Linked DNA regions of Nothobranchius furzeri. The protein of the gene in region 2 purifies or fractionates together with the protein of the main gene of each other region. This does not show direct contact. Links are inferred from orthologs where the notes say so. Each region holds a gene or a part of one and is shown on either strand. Other genes may lie near its edges.

Region 1 (3,766 bases), on a different chromosome or scaffold from region 2:
TGTATGTCAGAAAATTTCTGCAAATCTTCCCTCAACTTCCGGTACTGGAAATAATATCAGTATGATTGTAGCCTAAACTGTCATATAGGTGCATCCCTACAATAAAACATTGATCGGTGTGAACTCAGTGCATTTAGGCGTATTGTCTTTAAATGACCAACTCACCTGGCTTCAGAGTCTGAGTGTAGCCCAGTCCCACAAGGCTGGAGTTGTTCACCTTAGCCTGTGAAAAGATTGATCATTAAAGTAGAGAATCTACTGAAGGCCATGATGGCCTAAAGCCTGGATCCCATAGATGTCACCAAGCAAAGGGCTTCCTCTGACATCATGCTACACCAGGCTTTCAACACTTTATTCCATGAGAACTGCTGGCAATTTTTTTTTATGTTTTTCCACAATGGTGATGACATTTATCACCTAAAAGCTTCTTTTAAAGAATGTTTTGGGCTAAAAACAGATTTTTTATGTAAATGCCAACATTAAATATATTCTAAAGCTTCTTATCTTCTTTCAAAACAGTTAAAAAAATCATCTGTTTGTAAAGAACTTTGATTAAAACGTGAAAGGCTTTAAGAGAGCTACAGCTCTAATTCCTACATTTATTAAAATATTTTCATTAATTTCTATTATTTAGTTGCAATTTGAATTAATACCAGTAAACAGATAAAAACGAATACAACGTCAGTCCAATACGGCCCCAGTAATCAACCAGTCACACTAATGGGCTTGGCTACAAGGGGGATTTACCACTAATGTGATGAACAGGCCAAAATTAGCAAAGGGCTGTTTTACTTGAATGAAGTTGAAGCTTACAGTCGTCTCACCCAGCATGGGACCCAGACACCACTAGACCTACAAACTGTGGTGCACTTTAATTCAACTTGTTAATAGGGTTAGGGGTGGACTGCATCGCCATTGCTACTGCCACTTCAAAGACAGGCTACTCACGGAGAAAGATGCATCGGGATCGATTTGATACTTGGCAGCAATTCCAAAGCGGGTGTTGCTGTTTCCAGCAGTCCAGGCCAGGTTCACAGCTGTCTCCAGCTTTTCATTCACCTTCTGGTAGATGGAACCACCAAACTCTGTGCCATCATTTCTGTGAAACACAGCCGTTTGTGACTAATGTTATTAGATTATGATACAGATATGTTATTTGGAATGATCATGCAAGCTTAAAAAATATATATATGAAGTAGGGATGTGTGTTTTTGAAATTCTGGCGATACGATACATATCACGATACAGGGGAAATTATACGATATATCACGATATATTGCGATACATTCAGTCAAACGTTACAAGCAATTATTTTTACTGAACTTATTGTAAGAATGTTCAATAAACAGTTCAAACTGATACGTAACATGTTTAACATGAGGTATCTAAACCATGATGGAGGGATTTACATTTCAATGGTGGAAACAAAACCCGCTGCACACTGCTGCCAACTAGCAGTTGGCGATTGAATTGCGCAAAACGAAAAGAAAATACACAAATGTTTGCATGTAAATTCTTTCAGGAATTAGATACACGGCTTTTGAATATCGATGTAATAATCGCAGGAAAAAATATCACGATATATTGCCATATCGATATTTCCAATACACTGCTTTTGAATATCGATATAATATTGCTGGGAAAATATCACGATATATTGCCATATCGATATTCTCTTACATCCCTAATATGAAGCTCCAAAATCTTAGAATGTGCATATCGGTCCTGCTTCCATCAGTGATGGCACATCCAACTGAAGTGTTCAGCCTCATGAAAAGCCTACGTTAACCTTTGTCTGACCTCACATTACCGCTTCTGCTGCAGACTGTAACTGACAGGCTTTACCTGGGGGGCACAGCAGGAACAAGCCCCAATCCGTTCCGCTCCCTGTCTGACACCACACCCCTCTGTCCTTTCACAGCAAACCACTTCTATCTCCTATCATCACTATGAAGAGTAAAAAACCCTGGCATTTGACAGAAAGCTGAACGGGCAGCAAGGAGAAACTTCAAACCAAAGTTATAGAAAAGCCTGTATGCAGTTTAAAAATGCATTATGTATTGTGCACACGTGTGCTGGTGGTTGAACATGCTGCATCTTACACATTTGTATGCAGCTGGAACTCATCGGTCTTGTATCCAACAGCAAAGTTGCTCTGGGTGATCTTGTTCCTGCCGGCCTCAAAGGTCGTCTGGTAACCGGCGAGCCAGCCCTCGTAGCATATCACGCCAGCGCCGTGAATGGCTGTACCGTTAATGTCATAGTTGACGTCGCAGCCCAGGTTGATGTGTTCACACTTGTAGCCTGTCTTGAACTTGCCACCTTTCTTGCTGGTGGCATGTTTGGGGTACAAAAGAACAAAAATAAATAAATAATAACTCAACCCTTCATGATAATGTACTTAAAGGATGGATTCGCCGTTAGAATAGTTGTGACTAAAGTCATTACCCAGTATTTGGAGAGAAAGAGGACTCAAACGTAAGCTTCAGCCCTTTAGTCAACTGTCGGACAAACAGGAAATGAAGCCAAAACTGAGAATGTGCCACAGTGTAGACAGAAAAACTATAATACAAATCACTGTTTGGAAACTCCTAATCCATTTTCACCACATCACCTGGTCCTCAACGGTGATCTCCGTCCCCAGAGTGTTGTCCGTGTTCCATTTCTCTGTGAAGGTGAGTCCATGCTCAGACCACTTGTATTTGGTCTCCAACGACCCGCCGACCTTGCTTGTCTCAGTGTTGGCAGAGCATGCGCTGGCAAACTCCTGCAGAACATGATAACCCATCATTCCTGCACAAATACCTACAAGCTCAGTGCTTAAAAAGTCAAAACCTCCTGTTACTGTTTCTCAACCAAAGCATTAAAATAAGATATTAAATTAGCTGGGAATAAAGAAGTTACTAAAAATAAAAAAGGCCAACGCTTTAATTTCAGATGTCTAGAACCACTAATGTGCAATGACATTTTCATTTGACATCAAACGTGCAGTACTAAGATTATACAGACATATTTGTTTTGTTATTTCAAAGGTTTGTAGTTAAAATGCAATTAACCAGTGTTAGGAAAGGTACTTTTAAAAAGTAATTAGTTTTAGTTACTAATTACTTTGTCAAAAAAGTAACTCAGTTACTGAGTTAAGAGATTATAAAAGTAACTAATTACCAAGAAAAATAACTACTTAGTTACTTTTTTCATTAAAGGATGCAAGAAAAATGGGTTAATTGAACTTAATTTACTATAAATTGCTACAATAGTGAAATATAAATGACTAATGACTGGAACATAATAAAATGTATGTCTAAATGTTTTTTATAAACCTGAATAATTTAAATAGGCACTTAACAGGAGGAACTACAAATAGGAACATTACACTTATCTAGACTAATAAAAGGTCACGGTGTGATATTTAACAAGACCCCAATCAGCTAAAATTTAAAATTGCAAATAGAAACACCTGTAAAGGTTCCCAGGCCTTTAAATGGTCTCTCAGTCTAGTTAAATTACAGAAATGAATGTAATTTTGCACAGCATTTTAATTTTTCCAGCTTCACATAATTGTGTGTTTTTAGTAGCATTTCTGTTGCTGCTAATCTAGTAACGGTTAAATAAATAAATAAATAAAATCCTTTAAAATGACACTAGAAGAGGCACAAATCTGATGGAGGACTCACATTTACTAACTTGGGTCAGACCCAACCACAGAAGAGCTGCAGCTGGGTGGTAAACACACACAGGTAGTTCTAATAACACCTGAGCTCCATGA
Region 2 (3,766 bases):
GTGCGGGGGGGGGGATGCGACGCGGCCTCCCTATATCCCGTCTTGGTTGGAGAGGTGCCTGATGACAGTATATTCTAGCTTCATCTTTGCTACTATAAATGCCAAAATCCTCCCCAGGGTGCCGCGGCAAATCCCGTTTTGAAAACGCTATGGTCCTATAAAAACAGATGGAGAGCAGAACTGCTTCCCAAATAGGAATCTTGTACATGTTGCTTTCTTCCGTTGAGTGTTTTTTTGTCAAGAAATCGCAATTATACACTATTTTAGAGGAAAGCGCAAAAACAGAGATTCTAAAAACTGCTGCAGAATAAATAAAAAATGTTGAATAAGACCTGAGTTTATAGTGATTTCTGATTAAAGGCTGTTTTTCAGTTTGTTTAATTTATTACAGAAAAAAGTAGAACATCCATTTTCTCTTCCTGATTCAGTAATGATGGGGAAGCTGGGCGGAAAGGTCTGATGGGCCAGGTGTGGCCCGCGGGCCACCAGTTGATGTCCACAGCTCTAGACAAATCATATTTTCTCTTTATGTTCACACTGGATTAAAAGATCTGCAAGGTTTGCATAAATAAACCTGGCCTATTTATCTTTCTATGCACCGTTGCACAGGAGGACGATGCTCTGGGTTTACTACAAAGTGAATAATGGTTTCATTTAATCTAATATTACTGTTTTCATTTGATATAAAATTGGATTAGAAATAATTTATCACCCTGCCTGATTTTTTTTTAGTAAACAAGTAGAAGTTTATGAGGATTGCAAAAACTGGGATTAGTTATTAATAAATGTGCCTGATCTTAATGTTTTAATATTCTTATTCTAGAGGCTGGTCAGTTTACAGAAATTCTGTCATTATTTTGCTATAAAAAATAAACTTTTGAACCATTTTAAAGAATTCCAGCGTCATGAGACATGTTCTGACTCCCAGGCTAATTGTTTACTTGAAGTTGAAGGTGCGTCTGACTTGGCAGCAGGTTTTGTTTTTGACATGGCATAGACGATCAAAGCTGCTAGTGCTGACCACAGCTAAGGACTTAATTTGAAGCCAGGCCCGTCACAAGGTGGATACCTGTTATGCAACCACCGCTCTCCTGATGTATGACCTGACTTGGAAAGGCCTTGATATCATCATGGGACCTCTATATGAAATTATCTGTCTGGAAGTAAGCATAATCAATTCAGGTGGTTTGTTGGTTTGCTTCTGGAAACTGATGCAGGGATAAGTCTTAAAGGTTTTTGTGCATCTCAAATTTTACATAGTAATATTCTTTAACTTTATGTCATAGCTTTTAATGTAATTGTTTAATCTAGGCAGAGCTTAGCTTTTTTTGTTAGCTATAGAGGTTAGAGTTGTCCTGAGAAGTTGCTTTCCAACCCACCATTCAATTAGGTTTTCAATCACAGTTCAAATTGAATTGCCCTTTACTGTTTCTCTACTGATCTTTTCAAAGCCTAAAGTCTTCATTAAATCTCAGCTACAAACATCACAGACCTGCTGTTTTTCCTAGGAGGGTGGTGCATCCACAGATGTTGAGTTTCTACGGTTTTGACTTTAGTAATATACAATACACCGGTCATTCATTTGGTTCGCCTTTTACATGTGACACAAATCAAAGAAAATTGTTTATTCTTTAGTGATTTATGTAACAGATTGTTTTAGTTTTCAGGGATGTTTTTTACTCGGTCTTCCACAGTGTGCTTAAACAGTGATGCCCTTGTGTTCGCTGTTTTCTGTGCACCAGGTCCTTTTACAGATGTAGTTACCAGTAACCTCAAATTGAAGAATCCCTCTGAGAGAAGAGTGTGTTTCAAAGTCAAGACAACAGCTCCACGAAGGTACTGCGTACGGCCAAATAGTGGAGTCATCGATGCTGGTGCAACCGTCAACATCTCTGGTAAGCTTTTTACAGCTGTTTTAGCTTTTGTTATCTTGATCGCATAAAACTAGGGCTGCAGCTATCGAATATTTTTGTAATCGAGTACTCTATCAAATCTTTTTTTCGATTAATCGAGTACTCTAATAAATTACCCTTTTGTGTTTGTAAACCATTATATCAAATAACATGTTATAATTATGAAAGACCTCTTAAAATGAGCACGCAATTGCCAGTTATTCTTCAAGTTTTATTCAAAATTAGTTTGCAAAACTTCAGCACTTCAACTTTACTTCACAGTAAACAAATGTCTGTGCAAAACATAAGTAAACAACCTGAGCCGATTTCCCCCTCATGCGAGAATCTGCTAGCCTGCAAGCCAGACAAAAACTAGGAGAATAACTGTTGAAGTAGCGCTGCGAGCGGCTGTGGCCCAAACAGAACCAGAACCGCTCACGGCGCTTGCGCAAACAGCTCGCCAGCTGTTTCCCTATTAACACACGTCCGTTTTAATTTCTACACTTTTTTTCTCACACAATAACAAGGATTGTCGAGAAAGCATGTTTGCCGTGGTTATGTCCAATTACACAGATCACAAAACATTTATTTACTTTCTTGTTTTCCTCCGCCACTCATAAATACCCGTGTCCCTGCAGCAACCCCGAGGGACAACAAATATCAATAACAACACAGTAAAAAGTCCGACGTGTTGTGTAAAAACTGCTATTTTTAGCACATTTTAAGTCCGGCGTGTTGCTAGCAGACGTACGGTGTGAGCTGAAACTGAGCGCTACAAACGAAAAAGTCGCACAGTGTCCGCAGAATATATAGAAATTAGGGCTGGGGGTAAACGATTATTTTTAAAACGATTATTCTGACGATTATTTTATCGAATAGTCGACTATTCTAATGACTATTTATACAATTAATCTAATGATTATTTTTCTATTGCACAGTTAATAAAAACCAAAAAATCTCTAATAAATTCCTCCAAAAAATTGATTAATTGTTACTGTAAGAGAATAAACACTACAGGCCTCCCATTTTGTATAACACTGCTTTTATTGTGTTGGTTGGTTATGTTCTGGTGACGTGTAGAACTTGGGAGTACAGGCTGCTGCCTGAGAGGTGGTTGGAGACGGAGTGTCTCCATGCTGCTTCGTCTTGGTCACTTATGTGCGTGAGGCGAGTGGTGTTACGACTCTTCCTGGGGAGTTTGGCTCGTGTGCAAAAAGGAAGGGACAATAATATGGGATTTAAAAGTTAAAATGATGATCGGGTTTATTTACAACTACAAAAAACCAAATCTTTCCATCCACAGGTTGGGAGTAATAAAACTAATTCTGCCTGTGGGGAATTAAAACAAAAGTACAGATAACTAGGGATGTCCCACTGTGCAAAGATTACAGGGTTTTGGACCAAAATAAGAATCTCCAAAGTTCCAAACTCTAAACTGGGCGGTTAAACCAACCTCAAGGTGATATTTTAAACTAAACCGAAAACCCAAAACACTCTAAATGTAACAAAAGGGAGATTTTATTACATTTAGACATTTATTAATTTGTACCACAAATTATTATTTTTTATATGTGTTCAACATGTTTAAATATCGCTTGTTTAATTAACCAACATTTCTAGTGTACAGCGCCTTGTTTGGTTGTAATGCCTTGTGAATGCGCTTTATAAATAAAATTGGATTGGATTGGATTGTAAAAAGATGAACTCTAAACCAAAACGTAACAGCTTATCCAAACGCAAGAAGCTGTTAGCGAAAATGCTAACAGTAGCTTTACCAACGTTAAGTTGCCAAGTTTAAATAAACCAAAAACACCCAGCAGCAAACAGACCAGCTCGGAGGAGAGACTGCTACCACCAAAACAGCTCTCCTAATG

What was found.
Region 1: the proteins of vapal (region 2) and vdac1 fractionate together in Homo sapiens (co-fractionation; 3 studies listed by BioGRID and IntAct, with this or other methods). This does not show direct contact. The link is inferred for Nothobranchius furzeri from reciprocal best matches to the Homo sapiens genes VAPA and VDAC1.

The regions. Positions count from the first base shown.
Region 1 is NC_091750.1:59,851,082-59,854,847, forward strand, and holds part of vdac1 (non-selective voltage-gated ion channel VDAC1), read right to left. Parts: intron 2,768-3,766; coding exon 2,615-2,767; intron 2,502-2,614; coding exon 2,449-2,501; intron 2,331-2,448; coding exon 2,103-2,330; intron 1,100-2,102; coding exon 949-1,099; intron 224-948; coding exon 166-223; intron 1-165. UniProt on the Homo sapiens protein: Non-selective voltage-gated ion channel that mediates the transport of anions and cations through the mitochondrion outer membrane and plasma membrane.
Region 2 is NC_091751.1:42,874,746-42,878,511, forward strand, and holds part of vapal (VAMP (vesicle-associated membrane protein)-associated protein A, like), read left to right. Parts: intron 1-1,742; coding exon 1,743-1,895; intron 1,896-3,766. UniProt on the Homo sapiens protein: Endoplasmic reticulum (ER)-anchored protein that mediates the formation of contact sites between the ER and endosomes via interaction with FFAT motif-containing proteins such as STARD3 or WDR44.